Linked DNA regions of Caenorhabditis elegans. The protein of the gene in region 1 purifies or fractionates together with the protein of each later gene. This does not show direct contact. Each region holds a gene or a part of one and is shown in the gene's direction. Other genes may lie near its edges.

Region 1 (8,735 bases):
CGGCTCAGTAGCGACTGATGGTGATTTCGAAGAGGACATATTGCCAGTCACGTTGAAGCGCATGCAGCAAATGAGCATATCCAAAAAGAAGACCGAAGGAAGCATCTCACGAAATGCAGCGTACAGTGGCACTCCTCGCAGAAATCCACCGCGTGAGGCTCACAATCAAGCTACTCCGCGCAACATTTTCTCGTCAACACCTGGACGTATGGCAGGAACTCCCGGCCGTGCAGCTGTGGTTCCAAGGACGCCCCATCGTGTGATTCCGTTCAATGATGCAGAAAAAGATCCGAATGCAAGGATGAAGCATGCTGATGAGCTCCGGATGAAAGAGCTCGAGAAGAAAAGGGAGAAAGCACGGAAGGACGAGGAGAAGCGGAATGCTGTCATGGAGCGCAGAAAAGAGCAGGAAAGAGTTCGTCAGGAAAAGCTCGACCAGTTGAAGCAAAAGGAAGAGCGTAATGCTAATTTGGCGAAACTTCACAACAGTGCAAAGTCGCCAACAAGAGCTCGTTTGATGCAAGACCATGCTCCAAACAAGGCTGCAAGTAGAAAAATCTTCCCAACGGCGGAAAGCACATCCACTCCTGGTCGAGGCCCTGCTAAGAAGGGAAAAGTTGAGATTCTAATTGGCTCAGATGGACAGAAGACTGCTCCTGTGGCTCAGCCGACCGTTGAACTATCGGTGAGTATTTACTTGATTGTATTTTCCTAATAATAATTTAACTCATTTCAGCCTTCCCGAGAATTGCAACGAAACGGTAGCCGGCAAGTCAAAATGGAGCCGATGAGCTGTGATGATTCAACTCCACCGGCGCGTCAACATAAACCAAAGGCGAAAGCGACGAAACGATCGGCCCACGCAGCTTCGTCTTCTACATCAAATGTTGAAGCTGCTGCCGCACTTGCCGCTCTTCAGGAACAGCAACGTATTCAGCTGGAACAGGAGCAGTATCTGCTACAGTTAGCAGAAGATGAACGACGAAAGCGGGAGCAGAAGGAAATGAAAGAGAAAGCGGAGAAGGAGCGTCAACTCAGAGCTCGAGAAGAGCAGGAGCATTTTCTGGCCGTTCAGAGAGAAGAGCAAGCTCAGCTGGAGAAGCAAAGAGAGCGAGAAGAGGCAGAGCTCCAGGCAACACTCGCAAGATGCGCGGAGAAACAAGCTCGTCAGGAAGCTCTTCGAAAAACGCCACCACCTGCAGCCTACGAAATGACTCCGCCACGTACCTATCAAAACAACTCAAAGAATGACTATGGTTTGAACGATCTTAACAGTGATGACGAGACAGATCAAGAAGATGATCCACGCAAAGATGTCCCGGCTTGGGCCGAATTCGCAGTTGTCCGTGAGAATGTCAGAAGACATGCCATTAATCCACCATTCGACGTGGCTCAATTCTTCGGATCGATTGGAAAGGTAATTGTTTTTTTTTTCTTGCAGCTCCTTCAGTAAAAATTTAAAAATTTTCAGCCAAATCTAAAGGAAATCTTTAGTGATGCTGTCAAAGTCAAGAAGCGCGGATCGTCAGCAGTGTGGAAAAAGAGTCCATCAACGTTAAACACGTCGTCTCGCACAATTCTTCAAGACATTTCGGAATGATGTTGTACCGAAGCAGCTTACATCGCCAGGAGTCGCTCCAGCATGCGACATAATCTTTTTTCAAAAATTGTAAAATGTTTTTATATTTCGTATTGAGTTATTTTTTATTTTCAATGTTTCCCCCTTTTTAACGGAGAATACAAAAACTCCATCGGCCCTAACTTTACATTAAATTTTTTTTTCGCTGTAAATAATAATTCTTCAGCCGATTTTTATTTTATTGTTCACTCATTGATTAACGTGTTCTGAATTCACGAGTTTATTTATTTATTTATTTTTCTATCAGTTAGAATTCAAATTATCATTTATTTCTTTCTTATAGGATGAGCAAAAGTCAAACCATTCAGGAATTCGATGAGAATTTCTTCAGCAGCTTTGCTGTACCGAAAGTCAAGGACTATTCGAGATTATCGAGCTCGCCGAGCAGAGACCAGCCGTGTGAGACGTCATACTTCGAAAATCACTTTCGTAAGACTATTCAAATATTATTTTTCATAATAAAGTTTTAATTTCCAGCAAGCCTGGAATGCGACACGCCGGTCAAAATGCAACTTCCCAAGACGAAGCGGGAATCCGATGATGATCTCCCATCTCCAACTATCGATAATCTTCTTTCGTCTTCATCGGAATCCACTGTAATCAACGCAAGTCAAAATGACAACACAGAAGAGAAGCAGCAGCAACCAATCAGAGAACCACTCAAAATCGTGCCAAACGAGGACGCATCAGCTTCAGGAAGCGGTGGAGAAAATCAGCTAATCGAGGGACTTGAGAAATTGTCAATGTTTGCACCAAAAGCTCCAGAGGAACGTCTTTCGCAGCGTCGCCGTTCAGAGCAGAGAAAGAAAGAAGAGGAAGATAAGAGGACATCCGTCATTGCTCCAGCGTCCGGAACTCGTTCTCGCTCGATCAGCACGAAACGTTCAATGTCGCGTGAGCCAGCTGCAGCAGCTCCACGAGCACCATCTGTGCCACGTCCACCTCACAATTCTGTCACTCGCACCATCTCCGCGCCAATTGCAAATACCGGACCAGGTGTCATTACTCGTGCGATGGCTGCTCGTGTCGCTGAAAATGTCACCAAAACAAGTGTTCGTCGAAGTGTTATGCCTCTCAAAGTGGCTCAGAAAACGCCGGTTGCCGCAGTAAAATCGGATGCTGCTACTGCAGGAGGTGACAGATCCCGTGACCGTACACGCCGTACCAATACAACGGCTTCTCGTCGAAGTGTTTTCCCCAATAAGCCTGCTGCTGCTGCAGCAAACACCACTCCAATTGCTCCACCGCGGCGTTCGGCATCGGCGAACAAGGCAACAGCGCCGACGTCGGTGAGCAAATTGACGCCGAAGATTCGTCCGATTGCAACAGCCAATCGCTCATCGATTCTTCGAATGAATGTTGTGAAGCCAACTGTTCCGGCTCCGGCTCCTGCTGATGCTCAACAGAATAAAGCGGCTTCACGTCCTGCTGTTCCAGCTGGTGGAGCAGCTCGTAACCGGCAGCCGCTTCGAGTCAACCCGGGAACTCCGAGCACAACGATCAAGAAACCACCAGTGGTAATTTAAAAAATTTGCCTAATTGTTTAATAAATCGAATTTCCAGGCTTCATCCGTACAACGCCAGCCGCCGACTCGAGCTCGGTCAGTGGACCGTTCTGGCCAACCTCCAATTTCGGCTTCCACTCCAGGGGTACATTTGTGCAACGTTTTTTTTTCTATATATATATTTTTTGAATTTACAGAAAGCCTCCCGTGCTGACCTTTTCAACAGACTTGCCACACCAAAGGTTACTGCTACGCCAACGAGGACTTCACACGAGGGCCCAGCGTCGAGTATCCGAAAATCTGCTGTGCGCCCTGTGCCATCATATGTGTACAGCTCCTACAAAGGGTATGAGAAGAAACGATGGATTTATTGAACTCAAAATTCTTCAAAAAAGGAAAAATTGATTATTTAAACAGAAAAAATTGTAATAACAAATTGAGAACAATTTAGGCGGGCATGAAAGACAAAAACAATTTGCAATGTACAGTAAAGTGTGCAATTTAGAAACAAAAACGAACAAGAAATTAATCAAAATTGTTATTCTTCGTCGACCATCTCCCATTCAGCCTTCTCTTCCGATTCCGTTGATGCTTTCGGCTCCTCGTCGAGTTCTTCAACTCCCAAATTATCCACCAACTTCTTATGAGCATCATTCAACTGAACAATCTCTGCATCGTGAATTCTCTTCGTTTCGATTGCAAGTTCTGTGTGCTCGCGAATGGTTTCCTGGAGTTTGTCAATTGTGGTACGATCCGAGATTCCTTGAGATGTCAGAACGCGACAATGATTGCCAAGAACATTGTATTGCTGTTTCATTGATACCATTGCAGCTTGGAATTCGTTAATCTCGGCATTTTTCTCATCTGTTTCCTTCTTAAACTGGGCTTGAGTAACCTCATTGATCTTTTTTAGCTGCTCGATTTCAATAGTGGCGTAATGGAGACGTTGTTGGATTCCGGATTTCGCATCTTCCAAGAGTGCTACTTCAAGTTTGTGATGTTCAGTCAAATTTCCAATTTCTTTCTGAGCATTAGCTCGAGACACTCTGAGTGCAATACATTCTTCAGAAACGAGAGTCATTTTGCTTTCTAAAGCCAAATGTGCGGTTCTGAGATCATCTTCGGAGCTCAAAAGCAAACTGCACTGGTCTCTCAAGCTTTGATGAGCAGCATTGGATTGCTCTAGTTCGTTTCGTACCGTCAAAATCTCATTGGCGTGCTTCTTCTTCCCAGATTCCAGAGCCATTTGTCCTTTGATCAACTCCTGATTAATTGCCAACATATGATTGTACTTCATATTATCAATTTGCTTGGCGTACTGTTGATGCACAGCAACCATTTTTGCATCCATCTCACTCTGCATCTGGCCTTTTTCGATGTCCCGCTCCTGAATTGTTGTGCTCAATTGTTCGCGGAGACATTCACATGTGCGATTGACATCTTCTTTCTCCTCCTTCAAAATTTTGAAGTCCTCCTTCAGATCGTAATTCTCCATTCTGAGCTCCATCAGTTCGGTTTCAGACTCACGGAGCAACTCAATCGTGTCACTGTGCTCGCTGGAAAACGCAGCAGCTTTATCACTGCCAAGTTTGAGTTGTTCTTCAAGATGAGCAATGACTGCTTCATCCTGTTCGTGTTCGTCCTTTCTGAACTGTAAGCATTCACCGAGTCTTGCAATTTCATCTTCCAACTTATCGCGAAGATCTTTGTTGAAACTGGTCACCGCTTCTGTAACTTCAGCTTTTTCCTTCATTGCCAAACGAGTAGAGCCAAGTTCCAGGCGAACATCGGACAACTCGTTGAGCAAAGCTCTAATTCGGTCAGTCAATTGCAATCGTTCAGAGTCAAAGTAGTCATTTTGACTCTTCAACTTTGTAATTTCAACTTCAAATTCATTCTGCTTGACCTTCCAGTTTTCCTTCATTTGATGGATCTGCTTCAAGGTGTCTTCTCTTCCATACATCAGATCATTCAATGCAGATGTGAACTCCTTTGTCTGCAATTCCAGTTGAAGCGAAATCTCGTCTTTCCGCTCAACAATATCTTTCATGGCAATATCTTTTTCACAAACTTCACGTTCCAGCGTCTCAATGCGGCTCTCGTGCTCTTCGTTTTCCGTTTGGGTTTTCTCGAGCTCCTCGTTACAGTTATCCAATGCAAACTGGGCACATTGCCGAATCGATTCCAACTCGTGACAATCTTTTTGAAGTTTTGTATTCTCATCTGAGATCCGCGTAAGAGCTTCTTGAAATTTTTTCGAGTCGCTCAACCAGATCTTTCTGAGCTCCTCTTTCATCTCTTTCAATTCCAAGTTTTCGGCCACAAGATCTCGGTTCAAAATTTTGAGATTGTTTTCTTCGGAGGTCGTTTCTTGAGCGGACGATGCTTTTTCTTCGGCTTCGTCAAGCATGATCTCCAATAATGTGGAGTAGGTCTTGGCTTCCACGTTTTCCTGAAAAATAATAGGTTTATAGCTTGAAAAATTGCAATTTACTAATTAATTAAGTTCCATTAATTCTATTATTAGTTATATTAAGTTAATTAATTTCATTAATTGAATTGATTTTCTCAATTCTCTAAATAGTGAATTGAATAAGTTGCTCACCTTTCTGAGAAGCACAACTTCGTCCTTCAACAACTGGTGTTCTTCTTTTTCCTCAGCCAGCATTTTGTCCAAGTTTTGAAGTGAGTCTTCAGCCAATTCGATCTAAAATATAAACACTTGTTCATGGCACATTCAACTATTTTCAAAACTCCAGAATTCATTGAAAACACGTGGTGTCAGAGTGTCTCATTTCGGCTTGATCTACATAAATCTACAAAAAAATGCGGGAGAAGAGACACAGAGTTCTCAACTGATTTCGCATGGTTAAGAACATATTTTTGTGCAAAAAATTCCCGCGTTTTTTGTAGATCAAACCGTGATGAGACAGACTCTGGCACCACGTGTGAAAATGGATTTTTTGTGTCTCAACAGAATCTAGAACAGCTCAAATACTTACCGGCTCTTGATCCTCTGCTGACGATGAAAAAACTGTGACAGTTCTGTTGGCACTCATTCTTTTGAAAGCTGTTGAAATTGAGATCTGCAAAAAATATCGATTATTGAGAGATGTGTTACACACACAAAAATTAATAGTGAGACGAATGACAAGGTCACCATAAAAAATATTCGAAGAAGGAGAAAGAAAGCTTGCGAGGCTGTGAGAGGAAAACGGCGATCAGGTAGAATATATAATTCAGTTGTTAGGCATTGTGTGGTAGTAGCTAATGACTGAGAATTGAATGAAGAACCCGAGAAGAGAGGAATGAATAATATGAAAGAGAGTGAAAAAGAGAGAGAGAGAGAGAGACGAGAGATATGGGTGGTCTCGGGGAGTGAAAGAGGGAGAAATGGCAACGGTTTGGATAGCTCGACGAGAGCAAAAGAGACAGCCTCTGCATAATGCTCTGCGCTCTCTTGCTCTCTGCATATTGGCAGCGTCTAGCCACCGAGAGATGGGCCACGGTAAAAAGCGAGAGAGAGAGAATGGTCCGACTGATGTAATGTACAGGCCAAGGTTACAATGTGGATAGTTGTGGAGGACTGCGCGTTTGGTTAGATGCGCCACTAGGGCGGGGCTGCTCTGTGTTTGCTCTCTGGAAATAGCGTTGTGTGAGCAGAAGAGGGAGATTTGGGAAAGTCGGGGTCACGTTAAGGGTCAGAAGATGATGTTAAGATTGGGGAAGGGGTGAACAGGTGAAGTGGAAATAGTATTGAATGACTTTTTGGTGGTCTTTGATGTCGAGAAAACAATGGATATATATGACAATCTGGAAGATTTAGAGCATTACATTACAGAAATTCAAATTTTAAAGGTGGTGTAGTCGAATTTTTTTATTGTCTTATTAGACTCGATATTCTCTCAAAACACCGAGTTTCACAATGAAACTTCTTGAAAACTTTTCAGAAAAAAGTTATGACGGCTCTAAAAATGGCCTAAAATTAGTTAAAATCGGAAATTTGACCGACTTGTCAATGTCGCAGTGGCTGGAAATAATTTTTTTTGATATTACCGCCAAATTTTGAGTATACAAGTCGATTACCTCGCGTTTTAAACGAGTATTTAAAAATCGATGGACGGCGAGTTTTGGTTAAAAAAATTAAAAATCAAAGATTTTTTAATACCTTAATCAAGTTTAAAACGTAAGATAATTAACTTGTATACTCAAAATTTGGCGGTGATTTCAAAAAAAAATTGTTTCCAGCTGCTGCGACATTGATAAGTTGGTCAAATTTCCGATTTTAACTAATTTTAGGCCATTTTTTGAGCCGTCATAACTTTTTTCTGAAAAGTTTTCAAGAAGTTTCATTATGAAATTCGGTGTTTTCAGACAATTATGAGCCTGATAAAGCAATAAAAAAAATTCGACTACACCACCCTTAAAAGTGGGAAGTTAGGAAAAGTTATAGGATTTCGAGCTAATAAGGAATGTAATCAGTAGTTTTGTAGGGCAAAATTAGGTGCCTACAAGGCAGGCATAATATGCCTCGAAGATGCCTATCGATAGGCGATGAAACATTTATCTGACTACATGAAAACCTAGAATTGTAAAATTATTTTTGTTGTCTTAAAATGATAAAAATATAGTCTAAAATGACTGGCTGGAGTAGATAAGATTCTTCGATTTTTTTCATAGAAAGTTTTTTAAAAATCTATAGAGATGTAATGATAAAATTCAATTTTTCATCAAGTTTTGTTACTAATGACGGAAGAAAAATATCAGAAAACAACATCTTTTCTAAAAAAAAATGGCTAAAACTTGAGCCATTTTTGCAAAAAATGCTATTTTTCTGAAAATCGAAAACGAAAACACAATTCCGACAAATTTCCGGTTCGCCGATTTCCCGAAAATTTTCGTTTTCGGCAAGTTGTCGATATGACGGCAATGTGCCGATTTTCCAGAAATTTTCATTCCGGCAATTTTTCGATTGGCATTCGATTGGCACCTAGTAGGCATTTTGTGCCTACATGAAAACCTAGAGTTGTGAAAAGATTTTTTCGACAAACCGGCAAATTGCCTAATTTGACGACAAACCAATTGCCACCCACCCCTGATCTGGTACAAAAAATAATTTCGAATAAAAAGCATACATTTTTGAACTTTTAAGATTGGCAATGCTAATTGTAAAAAATTTGGAAAAAAAATACCAAAATATTCTAAACAATTCTTTTTTCAAATTTACTAATTACTAATTAAAAATTTTCCAGAATGCCATCTGCCGGAGGTCTTCACGGAATTCGTGCTCCATCAAAGGATCGTTCGACTCAGAAGCCACCAGCAGCAGCTTCTACTCCACAATCGAAGCAGTAAACGAATGTACATATGATCGTTGTCGTATTCCAATGGGACCAGCTTCATCTTCACCGCGAAAATTAATTTTAAAAAAAATATTTATGATGATTCTCATTGATTTTTTTGTCTCATCCCACCCCCTTATACCGTATTTTTTCTCTTCTTCATATCCATAGTTTTTGTTGAGCTATCTTTTCCCGTTCACCTTTTCGCGCGCGCGCACTGATCTACTAGTGTTCATTATTTCTGACTAA
Region 2 (8,591 bases), on another chromosome or scaffold:
TAAAAATTGACATAAAATGGCACAAAATTGACATATATTTCTTTTTAAAAAATTAAGAAAATAAAATTTTAAATGTTTAAACTCGGAAAAATGGGAATTTCGCGAATTTTATATGAATTTTGTCGATTTTTCACAAAAAAACCCTAAATTTGAGACCGAAAATTGCAATTTTTCCCAAATTCGAGTTTTTAAAATTGTTAGTCAATAAAAAAATTATTTGGAAATTCAGAATTCTACAAAAATGCAAATTTTATCTGTTTTCTTCAAAAAAAAATTATTGGAATTTTTCAAAAAGCTGTGCAATTTTTTGAATTTTTCCTGAAAAAATGAGAAATTTTCGATCGCTAGCAAAATCGCTAAAAAATAACTAAATTTTCCTTAATATCTCTGCGAATTTCGAAAAAAAATTGAAAAGTTCTCTTAAAATTCCAAAAAATGGCAAAAAAATTGGAAATTTATCCTAAAAATCCCAAAAAAACTTGAAAAGTTCTCTTAAAAAATTCCAAAAAACCGAAAAATTTCTCTTAAAAATGCCAAAAAACCTTTTTAAAATCTTCAAAAAGTCCAAAAAAAAATTGAAAATTTATCTTAAAAATGCCAAAAAAACCGAAAAATTATCTTCAAAAAGTCCAGAACCAGAAAAAATTGGAAATTTGTCCTAAAAATCCCAAAAACTTGAAAAATTCTCTTAAAACCCCAAAAATAATCCAATTTGTTTCAGAGCCCATCACATTCGTCCCAAAGAAGAAATAAACGTCTAATGAATCAATCGAGAATTCTATCGTTGATTTTGTTTTTTTGTTTGTTATTAATTATAATTCCTCTCTCCAATCATAATCATCATCACCGCTCAATCATTTTTATATATGAATTGAAATATTTTTAGTTCTTCCTTCACTTTTGCCTTTTTTTTTTGTCCCATTGCTTTCCCCTCATTCAAAAATATTCAAATTTGACCCCTTCCATCCAATTCTGAAAATCTTTCCCCCACACAACAACTCTCTCTCCAAAAAACAAAAAATCTCTCTTCTCCTTACGTAATTCTGGTATAATTTCCCTGTTATCATGTGTTCCTCTTCGAAATGTTGCGAGTTTTTTTTCTTCCATTTTTTTGCCCCCAAGAATTCCCCAATTTTGTGAAATATTCCCCCTTTTCCCCCGGAAATTTTTAATTTAAAATTTGGCGATTTTAATCGAATTTTCAGGCAAAATTTGTTAGAAAATTGAGATTTTTGCGGATTTTACATTTTTTTTTTTTAGTTCATTTTCAGCTGAAATTATCAAAAATTTCGAGTTTTTAGCCAAAATTCACAAATTTTCATACGATCATCCACTATTTTCTAAGAAATTCTGAAATTTGGTAGATTTTATTTTTGAGTTTTTAGCCATTTTTCAACCAAAATTTGGGAATAATCTGCAAAAATCTGAATTTTCAAACAATTCTAATAAAATTTCAAGCTAAAATTATTAAAATTTTCCAACTTTTTTTCCTGAAAATTTCAAAAAATGTGATTTTTTTTCAAAAATTTCCCAAAATTTCAACAAATTCATTTTCAAAATGTTGAAAATGAAATATATATATATCGGGTCCCCCGTTCTCTGTTTAAGTCACAATTTTCATATCTCTCCCGATTTTTAAATATCTTTGTGATGTCTCACACACATAAGCCCCGCCCCCGTTTTTAAGCACCGCCCATTTCATTGCCTTTCTCCGCCCCCCGTTTTCTACAATTTTTCCCCGTTAAATTATACTCCGCCCCTTTCCTGCACACATTTCGACTTCAATATTCATATTATTATTATTTTCAATCCCAATTTTTTCTTTACTTAAAATTTTCGTGTTGACTCCGCCCCACCGCCCCCAAATTGTCTGTTTGTTTAGAAAAAGCCCCCGTTTATATGATTTTCCGCTTTGGAATAATAAAAGTGGACGTTTCTTTGTCTGGAAATTACAGAAAATTTTGAAATCGGATAAAAATTGCAGACCGCGCACGGAAAAGTGGGCATGTCCTACCGGTTGCAAGCGTGACGCGCGCATTTTTCGGAACTGAAATTTTTGCGAAATGTAGGAATCTCGGTTTTCGAGCGAGTTTTTATCGAATTTGGGTAATTAATAATAATAATTGGTTTCAAAAATGGTAAAAATCATTTTTAGTTTGAAAAATCTGATTTTTGACTTGAAACTGTTTAGAAGCTGTATATTTAATAATTTATCAATTTTATACTGATTTTTAAGGGTTTTCAAGTTTTTTTTCCCACTTTTCCGCTATTTTTGACCCGAGAATCCTGTAAAATCTGCAATTAATCAACAAAGAAACAGCAAAGAAAACCCTGCGTCTCCTCGTCTCCCCACACTCTCTCGCCGTCTGCATTTTCGCGTGACGGTGTTTGCACACACTGGCGTCGCCGCGAAAATATTCTTTAATTCAAACGCGAAATCAATTTTTCGCACTATTTTCCCCGCGTAATGTCGAAAATTCCTGTATTTAAGGGCAGTTTCAAGTCGTGGCTCGCAAAAAACGACGAAAAACCCGCGAAAAGTGTGCTCCTCGAGCCGAAATATCGCGATCACCACGAAAAAATAAGGTAAGCAGGGGGAAATTCCCCATGGCAACCATTTATTTATTTTCTGAGTTTCAGAAACAAGGAAAACATGGAGGAAGGCGAGAAGCCGGTTTTTGTATCAATGGGTAGGTTTTCTTTGGGAAAAAATTGGGGAAAAATGAGGAAAAATGGTTTTTTTGAAATTTTTTTGTTAATTTAAAAAATTTTTTAAATTTCCAGCAAACCCCCAACCAACACGAGAAGACTACGAACGTTACGACGAAGATCGTCGGCTTAAAGATAAAGCTCGTGATCTACGAATCGCCCGCCGCCGCAACTCCGCAACCCCAGAAGCCTCCCCGTCCAGCGATCAATACTTCACACCGGAGCCCGCCGATGACGAATTTGTCACTCCATCCACGTCGAAAAAGTCACAAAAGCCACGTAGCAGTGATGCGACGCCGGTGTCTTCAAAACCGCCAAGATATTGTAATTTTTTGAATTTCTTTCAAAAAAAAACCTAATTTTCATAATTTTCAGTGCCAAGAACCCCGTTATCAGAGCAATACACGTCTTGTCTGAGCCGGAAAATGGAGGAAAACTTTTCAAGAATGCAGGAGCTCATGATCTCCGGCCACTCACCCCATGAAGCCCGTCAGCAGACGATTCAGGAGAGCTCGGAGCAGCTGGAGCCCAGAGCCAAAGTGACACGTAGCTCATCCCAACCGCCACCGATTGACACTTTGAAGCCGCGTGTGCCACGTATTGAGTCGCCTTTGGTGAAAAAAACCACGGAAACACCGATTCGTCGCACCTCATATGTTGATACCCTCGTCGCGACGCATCAAATTCAGCTACAGTATTCGGATCGAGTTGTTGTTGGTGTTGAACGTCAAATGACAAAGCTGGAGAGCATCAAGGTACAGGAATTGGAAAATTTCTCGAAAAAATCAGTAAAACCCGATTTTTCCTGGGGGTTTCCGCCGAAAAATTGGATTTTTTTCGCCAATTTTGAATTAAAAATCCATATTTTTCGCTCGAAATTGTCAAAAAATGAAAAAAACATCTGTATAAATTCACATTTCCCACCGATCGCATAATGCAAGTGCGCTCTGATGCGAATTTGACATTGGAGCGCAGTTGCAACATGCGATCGGCGGGAAATTTTAATTTTTCACTCAATTCCCAGATTTTTGAGCAGAAATCACGTTTTTCTGTCAATTTTGAGCTGAAACTTACTGTAAATGCGCTCCAATGATAAATTAGCACCAGAGCGCAGTTGCAGCATGTGATCGACAGAAAATTGAATTTTTACACCGAAAGACTTTAAAATTCTAAAAAAATAAAATAAAAACACACACTTACAATTAAAAATTAATATTTCCTACCAAAAATTTGCTGAAATTTGAATTTGCGCGTAAAATCGGATGTTTGATCTACATAACCGTCGCCAAAGTTCTTACAGAATCTCGCGGCCGCTAATAGATCACCAATAATTGCTGAAGAGGCAAAAAAACGACGAAATGAAGCAGAGGCTGTACGGAAACTCATAGAAGTGGAGACGCAGAACGCAAAAAAACGGGCGGTCATTCAGGAATTAAAGGATCGAATTGATAAGCTTACTCAAGCACAATTGGCTATACATCAACTCGTTTCAAGGTAGAAATTCCAAGAAAAAATTTGATTTTTTTGCTCTTTAGGCTCCGCGCCCATATCTTGGCTTCTTAAGGTTTTTGTTTACAGCCAACCATTCTCCGGCGATCCGTACAATCAGCGGCTTTTGCGCTCCATCGACAACTGGATGGCGTTGCCGTTTCGCGAATTCGACATTCAAACCGCCCGTGAAATGCTGGAATTGGCGCGAAAAATGAAGATCACAATCGACCATTTTCGAAATGTCGCCACGTTGCACAGAAACAGCAAAAGTCTCAATCGATCACTTAACACGAGTCGAAAGAGCATAGCTGTTAAGGTAAATTAAGCCGTTTTTTGGCAAATTTCTTTTAAAAATCCGCCTATTTTAAGAGAATTTCAAATCGCTTAAAATAGGCGGATGAAACCCCGCCCCTTTATTGGCTAATTTCATAAAAATAGGCGGATCTTTTCAAGAAATCTCAAAAAATCTGATTTTTGTAGATCAATCCATCATCACAACTGAACCAACAATCATCGTCGGACGCAGCCCCGCCCCCTTCAATGAGAGAAGCATCGACACAAATGACGTCACGGCTCGCCGAGTCTGCAATGACTCAGACGAGTCCCCGAAGAATTGGTGTTGAACCGTTGGATCTTTCACAATTGTTGGAGAAACACAACTCGTCCTCGCAGACTACACCGCCTGTGGTTGAACCGGTGCTGGCCGAAGTTTCCGCCGAACCTCAGCGGCCACCAGTGACACTTTCGATGACGGCGCCCGTGTCGACGATTGCCGAGTTTGATAGTATGCTCAATAGCATTTCACTGCACAATGAGAGCCTGGAGACTGTCGCCGAGCCATTTTCCCGTCTGAAGACTGATATAAGCTTCCCGTCCACTGTGGAAGAGACGACGCCACGTAGTGGCCGAGTTTCTCTGGATTCAGAATCGGCGCGGCGACTTTCTGCAGGACTTTCGCACTATTTGGAGCAAGTTAAGAAGGAGAGAGAATCGATGGAAGCTCAGGAATCTGAATCTGAATCCATGGAATTGGAGATTCCCGTGGTGTCTGAGGTATCAGTCACTACAGAATCAGAGAATCTGGAGGAAGTGGTTTCCGAGCATTCTGATTCCAAATCCCCGGAAACTCTAGTCGCTTCAGACAACGGAGAAGACTCATCCGGTGGATCGGAGGACCCGAATGCTACACAATTTGAGCATGAAATTGAGGAGCACAAAGAGCCCGAAAAACTGGGCCTAATCATAGATCCGGAGGACGAGCAAGACGAGACGAAACGCTTTGTGAATCACGATGAATTCGAACAGAGCCTGGAGGAAGAGCTGGAGCCACGTGGCAATAATGATAGCGCTGACGATTCGGGATTCTTGCTTGACAACTCGCCGGCACCGCGGCTTAAATCGATTTTTGACAATTTGCCGCCGGCGGCGGCGTCGGCAGCAGTGACAGATACACCAAGAGTGCCGGCGGAAGCCGATGAAACGACGTTTGCTGGAATGGATATGGAGGAATATTGTCAGCGAGAGTTCTTGAAAGAGATTGTAAGTGTGTAAAAAAGAATGGGCCGAACCGGGGATTGAACCCGGGACCTCTCGCACCCAAAGCGAGAATCATACCACTAGACCATTCGGCCGCGAAACTTTGCTTCCCAGGAGGCAAAGACATGATGCACCATGTGTCAATTTCTGCGGAATTTGTTCAACAGAAATGTCTACACACCCAAGAAGCTTGGGAAACCGTGGCCGAATGGTCTAGTGGTATGATTCTCGCTTTGGGTGCGAGAGGTCCCGGGTTCAATCCCCGGTTCGGCCCATTCTTTTTTGTTTTCTCTTATTACATCTAAATGTTTAATTTCGCACTTTTTCAGAGCCCAATAATGGTTCAAAAGGCAATTGAGCTTCAGGACGAGCTCCGCGGAGTCGACTGGCTTACAGCGCAAGATGTTTGGCAGCCACCCTCATTTAAAGATGTTCAAATGGAGTTCGACGACAATTTCGAGTATTTCGACTCGTTTTCCATACTTATTTGGAGTGCGGTGGTGGATTTAATCAATAAAAACTACCTGAAATTTGGCCGAAAAATGACTGAAAATGAGGAAATCGCGTTTGAAGCGGAGGCGTTGAAAATGCTCCAAACCGAGCACGGACCCGAATCGAGAAAATCGGAATGGTGCACCGATGTGAAAATGAGCAAGAAACTTGAAGGAATGATGCCAATGGAGTTGGATTATCGATATGATGTACGCCGAGGTCTACCGGACGCCGAAAAACAAAAATATCAATGGCAACAAGTGCAGATGACAGTTATCGCCGCACGTTATGCGAATAAGAATTTGGTACGGAACGTGAAAATGTGAAAAATCTCACAAAATCTCACAAAATCTATACAAAAATCGGAAAAAAAAGCGACGAAAATTCAAAATTTCGGTGAAAAATTTTGGCGGGAAAATTCAATTTTTTTAAAGAAAATATAGCTTTTTTGTTTCAAGGTGGAGTGCTCCCAGTGGGGAAATTGCTTTAAAGCATGCCTATGGTACCACAATGACGGAATATCATGATAAAAAATTCAAAAAAAATTTCTAGATTTTATATGATTTTTTGAAAATTGAAAAAATCTCCGTTTTTGCCTAATTCCTTTTTGAATTTCCGCCAATTGGATTCATTCGGTGGAGCGCACTTGCATTATTTTTATTAATTTATTTTATTTTTTTCTCATTATTTCACTGATTTTCTTCATTTTTGGTGTATTTTTATCGGAAAGATAAAGATAAATGCAAATTGTTTGTTTAAAAAATCACTGAAAACGGGTAAAGCTTTAAAACTATGAGTTCTGACGACAACAAGCCTGAAATTAGCATGTTTCACAGTTTTACGCATTTTCAGTGATTTTTTAATGAGCAATTTGCAATTATCTTGCATTTTTCTTTGTCTTTCCGATAAAAATACACAAAAAATGAAGAAAATCAGTGAATTAATGAGAAAAATAAAATAAATTAATAAAAATAATGCAAGTGTGCTCCACCGAACGAATCCAATTGGCGGAAATTTAAAAAGGAATTAGGGGAAAACTGAGATTTTTCCAATTTTCAAAAAGTCATATAAAATCTAGAAAATTTTTTCGAATTTTTTTATCATGATATTTGGTCATTGTGACCCCATGGGCATGTTCTAAAGCAATTTCCCCACTGGGTGCACTCCCTTTAAAAAAGTTGCCTAATTTTTTTTTAATCAAAAATCGATTTTTCGTTAGTTTCAACCATTTTTCTCTCAGATCAACGAAGCCAACGAGGTATATGCGACGGAAAAGGAGAAGCTGGGACAAATGGTGCTGGAATCTGAAATCGACGCGACGGTCACCGATGTTTAGGCTTTTAATTAAATACTTTTTTCGCCTATTTATCACTATTATCGGCAATATCATTCATGGTCTCTACTATTCTACTAGCTATTTTATGAACTATTTTATTTATTGATTTTTATTTTCACACACACTTTTAAGGCGAAAAAGCGCTGAACATATACTGGAAAAATCGATATGCCGAAAAATTCCCAAAAAAAAACATTCACAGAAAATGACGGAAATCAATCGGAATTTGAAAATTATCGATGTGGGTTGCAACGCGACAATTCCGGCGGAGGATATTTTCGAGAAAATCGATAATTTCACGGAAATTCTCAGGAATTCAAATTGCCGCGCGATCACCGGCTCCGACGTGGTTTTCATATCGATTGAAAGAGGTCTCGACGCGATTGTTGCCGTTATTGCGTAGGTGGCAATCCGCCCACTCAGCCAGAAAAAATCGATTTTTCAGATGCCTCCGACTTGAGCTTGTGTTCACATTTTGCCCGCCGGCGAGCGATACTGATGACGTGGTGCGGAAGTTTCGAACGACGCTGGTTTTCAACGGAAAACATGTTAGTGCTACGTGGTGAAAAAATCGATAATTTAACAAAAATCAATAAATCCTCAAAAAATTCAATAATCTGACATTTCAGGTATCTAGGATCGCTCAAAACGATGAGAACGGACTTTTAGCGGCGGAGAGCATTTGCTACGTAATTCAAACTAGCGGGACTACTGGAGCTAAAAAACAAGTGGCAGTTCCAGTTGACTGTATTCGCAAGAATATTGAGCATTTTTGGTGAGGAACTCTCCGAAAATCGATAGCGATTATCGATTTTTATTCCAAAAAAATCGATAAAACAATAATTGATTTTTCGTTAATTTTATAATACTTTTCCAGTTCGCTCTTCAATCTAACATCATCGGATTCCATCCTTTTCTCAACTTCTCTTCATTTCGATCCTTCAATTGTTGAACTTTTCATGGCTTTTCACGTGGGATGTACATTAATCATTACACCTGATGAGTATCGAAGTGAACCTCACAAACT
Region 3 (4,870 bases), 7.9 Mb from region 1:
AATCTTTTAGAGTCAACTGCTGGTCCAAAGATTGATACTTCTAAAAAAGTACGTTTTCTAGAAAAAAACAGTACCAGATCAATTGAATTTATTTACAGGGAATTGTTCTTCAAGTGACACCAGAATACCACACAATTCTTCGCATTTACGAATCAGAGCTGCCAGAATTGTTAAATGTTTCACAAGTGATACTGCATGAAAATCGGGATGAAAATTCTGTTGAGCTCGTGGAAAGCCGGTTGCGATATTGTGAGAGATGCCGGAAGCACACTCGGAATGAAAGTGATGCTCTATGCGGAAGATGCTCAGATGCGATGGGACTTTCTCGTTAAATTAGATGATTTTTGTAGAACATTGTAATTTGATTTATTTTAGGAAAGTAAATGTTTTAATTTAGAGGCGCCACGTTTTCAAGATCTGTTCAAAAACAAGATTTACGAAAACAAGATCCACCAAAACAAGATCTACATTTTCAAGATCTACCAAAACAAGATCTACGTTTTCAAGATCTGGCACCGTGCCAACTGTGGTTTTCTCGAAGAAAACCAAACAACGATGCTCCGATGTTACGCGTCGCGTGTTGTTTAGCGTTCAAACGAATATTTTTTGAAATTTTCTTCTAGAATTTACGCTTAGCAACACGCGACGCGTAGAGAAAACCGCAGTTGGCACGGTGCCAGATCCTGAAAACGTAGATCTTGTTTTGGCGGATCTTGTTTTCGTAGATCTTGTTTTTGAACAGATCTTGAAAACGTGGTGCCTCTTAATTTATGTTTGCACATCAATTTCCCGAAACACCAACTTCTAGCAAGAAAAACTTGACGTCATGCTCGACTTGCTTCAAGCAAAAGAGGTCCTCAGATAGAAAACAGGATTTGATGTTGAAAATTTATTTTCCGATATAAATACATAACGTCTCAAAATTTATAAAGTGAGTGCAATGATTGTCAAACGTAAGGGGGATGGAACCCGGTGACAAATAATAAACGATTAGTTGTGGATGATTGTTTACATGATTAGATTGGTGTCAGAAGTACAGAAGGCTTCACTGCAACGCGTTGACGATGGTCGAATTGCGTTCACAAATGGAGTACAGCATATACGTGCACGGGTAGAAGTACGTGTATGATGCCGATTCCAGGGATGATGGTGATTTGTAGCTGGCAGCACAATTGGCGAGTGATGACCAACCGTTGAAGAGTGGCTTGTATGGTTTGATGAGCCAGTTGCTGAAAAAATTAAATTTAGAAGCAATCAATTGTTGTTGACAAAACCTACATTTTGGTTGGATTGAGAGCTCCTTCAGTCTGCCATCTTGGCAACTGCTCCAACTTCTCGTAATGGGTGAATCTGACAAGTCCGATCCACGAAAAGAAGGCTTCCTTGGCTTGAACACGAATTGCGTCCCACTCTTCAATCGAATTGGCCACGAACAGTGTTGACTGCTTCTCGAAGCAATTTCTCTCGGCCTTGGCGAATCCAAGAAGCTCCTTCTCGATCCAGTAGCACGAATCGGCGAACCGAAGCCATCCATCGGGACACTTCTCAGTCTGATTGACGAAGGCTGGCGGCTGTCGAGCTGGGAACGAGATGTCTTCGAATGCCGTTGTGCCGAGATCCTTGTAGTCCCAGTTGTAGAACGTCACTGAAATTTGTTACTTTTAACGAAAATTTAAAGATTTCAAAGAAACTTACGTCGTTGATGCGGCTGTTCGTCGTTTTGAACCAATGGTGATGTTTCTGGAGCTTCACCACTAGCTTCAGGAAGCTCGGTTGAAGAAGTCGGAGCTGCATGAACGAGGAATAGCCCAGGAAGGATGAAAGCAACGAGAAGGCAAAAACGCATGATGAGCAGTGAAGACTGAGGAAATGAACGTTTCGTTCTCCTTTTATGCACATTTTTGCCGCCGTTTCCTGAAATTTTCACAAATGCGCGCCGCTAATAGACAGAGATCAAATAATAATTTCAAAACAAATCAAGTCTAGAAATATCCTAAACTTCATTTCTGAACTGGTGTTATGAATTTGAAGCACGGATGATGGTTTAAATGTTCTGTAGCACACTGCAGATTTTCATTTATGAAAATATTTAACTTTTAAAAGGGCAAGATCTTGTTTTAAAAAATTGTAATTAATTTTGAAAATTATATTTTGAATAGCCGCCCTTGATATTAACAAAATATGCAGTGGAGCGCACTTAATGCGCCCATTTTCAACAGAAAATAACGCTCGAGATTCGAATTCAATTCTCTCCTCCCTTGCAATTTTCGTGTCACTATGCCAACCGACGAACCTTCGAAGCGAAAATCCATTTTACCAACGATTCCAACATCCCTGATGTTGAAGAAAAGTAACGAAGCATTGAGTGACTTCGAACGTGAGTTGGGTTCAGCGAAAATGTATTATTCAGCGGTATTATCTTTCAGGAACATTTAATGATCGAGTTATGGATATATTTGCCGAAAATCGAAGAATAGATGTAGAGGAGTTTAAAAAAAATGCCGAATGCTTTTTAAACATCATTCGATCGAACAAAATCGATTTAAATTGGGGTGAAGGGGGAGAAAGTAGATATGTGACGATAACTCGATTAATGGTAAGGTTCTCGGTGAATTCAATAATTAAGAATGTGCAATTATTCAGAAAATACTCAAAACTTCACCACAATCAATCAAAGATCTACTTCCACATAACACAGTGTCGAATTTCGTTAAAATAACCAATTATAATTTAACAATTGATATCACTCTTTTAGGTTTGTGCAAAGCAGGGAGTTCTTATTATAAAGAATTTGAATTTCAGAGGAGCTTGTACGAACAGTCATTCACGCTGAGGAGTCCTACATCAAACTTCTTCCATTTTCAGAAAATAGCACAGAGATTTCCAGTTATGTAAGTATCTTATTTCTACTCTAAAAGCTATTATCCTGACACTATTTTCAGAGTCTCCAAGACTTTGTGGCCACACATTTTATTCCAATTATGATTGAAGAACCGGAAAATCCTGTCTATTATACAGCTTACGCAGTTGGAACAATATTTTTCCTATTGGGTGCTCGACGGCGAGACTGTGTATATTTGAAGGATTTACTTGCTTCAACACTTCTACTACAACTCGAAGAGTGTATTCATGCAGAGAATCATTGCTTATCACCTCCGAAAATTGATGTGTATGATTTATCAGTGCCATAAATTGCTTCAAAAAGTCTTTTTTCAGATTCACCGTCGCTCAATTTCGAACCACTTTATCAGAATTCCGATTCCTTGACTCCCAACGAAAGGGATTGTTGGCGCCAGCGGACTTGAAATTTTTCAGAGAGTATGAAGAAATTATTTTTCAGTCTATAAATCCTATTTTTCAGCGGAATCTTCAATGAGGTTTTCACCAAGCGAATCTTCGAAATTTCAATAACCTATGAAGATGGACGTATTGATTTCAAAGCGTTCGTTGATTTTGTCACCGCTCTAAAGTTCCGTCATGTAAGCGATTTTTTAATCAGAACCAAAAAATTGTTCTAAAAAATAAATTTCCAGACCACTGCCTCCGCCAAATACCATTTCGAAATTCTGGATCTAAAGGATGATGGACTGTTGGATGAGGAAGAAATTCGATCAATAGTGAGTAAAACTCTCCAAGAACACTTTCTCATCGCTTAAAAGTCATCATTTCAGCTTCAAAACCTGCCAGATTACGTCCCGGAAGATAATAGTGTGAACCCGGAAGTAGCAACTGCCGAACTGAGAGATATGATGCGTCTGAATCAGAATGGAATTACATTGGAAGAGTTTCTTGCTAATCGGATGAACTCGACGTTTGCTGGATTCCTCTCCAATTCCGATGATTACATGAAGTACGAACGACGCGAGCAATAGCAGTCCCGCTAATTTTATTTTTAAAACTATTCTAACCACTCATTTCGGCCTGCAAGGGTAATAAACAGCTTTTGGACCAAACATTTTATGGATGAGACAAGAGGGAGAAAAACGGAAACATAACAAGTTATATTTGAAGTAACAAAAGTATACAAAACATTTGTTTTGGATCAACTCAGGATTATAAATTTAAAGGGGAAACAAAAAGGAAAGCAACAGACAACAGATAAAAAACGAAGTGTAGACGGGGGTGAGAAACAATTTTGGAAACAAATTAACTTAAGGATAAAGTTAAGAAACTAATCGTCAGAGTCAGAGAACTTGATAGAATTAATAGATTGGTTGATTGGACCACCTCCGTAGCTTCCCTTCTTCTTCTTAGTTTTCTCATGACGGAATGCTTTTCCAACAACTTTTCCTAGGCTTTCATTGGCACGCTGTCCCCATTGATCGAAGTGCTGAAAATAAATCGAGTTAAACTTTGTTCGTAGTCGCTATATGTTTACCGAATCATGCTGGTTGTTTCTAAATTTTTCAGAAACGCTATCCTTTGTCATTTGCACGCGTCGGAATGGTGAAGACTTTCTTTTTCGGTTTTCATAGACCGCCTTTTCAGTCGAGGTAGCCAATGGTTTTGCCTTCAAAGCCGGTGTTCTTGAACTGCTCTCCTCGGTCTCGGCGGATTCTTCAGAGTCAGCACGTTGTGGTCTTGGAGTGACAGCCTTAGATGGTTTTGGAAGATCTTCGTCGTCATCAGAGGAATCAGAAGATTCAGCTTTCTTTAGTGCAGTCTTTGGAGTTGATTTTGCTGGTGTGGTGGCAGACTTCTTTTTCGTTTTCTCATCATCCGAAGAATCGTCTGACGATGAAGAGGCTTCTTTTTTCACAGCGGTTTTTGCAGGTGTTGACTTGGCTGGTGTCTTCTTAGCCGGTGCCTCGTCATCAGAAGAATCATCGGATGAATCAGCTTTTTTGGCAGATTGCTTAGGAGTAGCTTT

What was found.
Region 2: the proteins of tpxl-1 (region 1) and rsa-2 purify together in Caenorhabditis elegans (affinity purification with western blotting, with the first as the bait; one study listed by BioGRID). This does not show direct contact.
Region 3: the proteins of tpxl-1 (region 1) and rsa-1 purify together in Caenorhabditis elegans (affinity purification with western blotting, with the first as the bait; one study listed by BioGRID). This does not show direct contact.

Annotation. Positions count from the first base shown.
Region 1 is NC_003279.8:2,297,581-2,306,315, reverse strand, and holds the start of tpxl-1 (TPX2 domain-containing protein), read left to right. Parts: upstream 1-1,922; 5' UTR 1,923-1,923; coding exon 1,924-2,068; intron 2,069-2,116; coding exon 2,117-3,156; intron 3,157-3,202; coding exon 3,203-3,289; intron 3,290-3,341; coding exon 3,342-3,490; coding exon of another isoform or gene 3,491-3,518; exon of another isoform or gene 3,519-3,682; coding exon of another isoform or gene 3,683-5,596; intron 5,597-5,749; coding exon of another isoform or gene 5,750-5,851; intron 5,852-6,146; coding exon of another isoform or gene 6,147-6,203; exon of another isoform or gene 6,204-6,230; intron 6,231-8,396; coding exon 8,397-8,499; 3' UTR 8,500-8,735. Other genes in the region: icp-1 (Inner centromere protein ARK-binding domain-containing protein), read left to right, coding at 1-685, 737-1,417, 1,472-1,600; epg-2 (Ectopic P granules protein 2), read right to left, coding at 3,683-5,596, 5,750-5,851, 6,147-6,203.
Region 2 is NC_003281.10:11,061,089-11,069,679, forward strand, and holds rsa-2 (Regulator of spindle assembly protein 2), read left to right. Parts: upstream 1-2,390; 5' UTR 2,391-2,467; coding exon 2,468-2,586; intron 2,587-2,640; coding exon 2,641-2,690; intron 2,691-2,784; coding exon 2,785-3,033; intron 3,034-3,084; coding exon 3,085-3,464; intron 3,465-4,000; coding exon 4,001-4,203; intron 4,204-4,287; coding exon 4,288-4,516; intron 4,517-4,680; coding exon 4,681-5,739; intron 5,740-5,749; exon of another isoform or gene 5,750-5,837; intron 5,838-5,938; exon of another isoform or gene 5,939-6,010; intron 6,011-6,065; coding exon 6,066-6,533; intron 6,534-7,468; coding exon 7,469-7,564; 3' UTR 7,565-7,671; downstream 7,672-8,591. Other genes in the region: spat-2 (Protein lilliputian), read left to right, coding at 722-753; W09D6.1 (AMP-dependent synthetase/ligase domain-containing protein), read left to right, coding at 7,770-7,963, 8,010-8,112, 8,194-8,339, 8,442-8,591. UniProt on the Caenorhabditis elegans protein: Recruits rsa-1 and, thereby, phosphatase let-92/paa-1 complex to the centrosomes. Recruits sys-1/beta-catenin to mitotic centrosomes during the first embryonic cell divisions.
Region 3 is NC_003279.8:10,183,601-10,188,470, forward strand, and holds rsa-1 (Serine/threonine-protein phosphatase 2A regulatory subunit rsa-1), read left to right. Parts: upstream 1-2,255; 5' UTR 2,256-2,277; coding exon 2,278-2,377; intron 2,378-2,426; coding exon 2,427-2,596; intron 2,597-2,643; coding exon 2,644-2,755; intron 2,756-2,802; coding exon 2,803-2,891; intron 2,892-2,942; coding exon 2,943-3,169; intron 3,170-3,216; coding exon 3,217-3,318; intron 3,319-3,361; coding exon 3,362-3,479; intron 3,480-3,533; coding exon 3,534-3,617; intron 3,618-3,659; coding exon 3,660-3,872; 3' UTR 3,873-3,950; downstream 3,951-4,870. Other genes in the region: iars-2 (isoleucine--tRNA ligase), read left to right, coding at 1-48, 99-332; clec-87 (C-type lectin domain-containing protein 87), read right to left, coding at 1,046-1,229, 1,279-1,645, 1,696-1,846; Nucleolar protein dao-5, read right to left, coding at 4,172-4,330, 4,379-4,870. UniProt on the Caenorhabditis elegans protein: Regulatory subunit of phosphatase let-92 which recruits let-92/paa-1 complex to the centrosomes, thereby regulating microtubule outgrowth from centrosomes and mitotic spindle assembly ensuring the stability of kinetochore microtubules.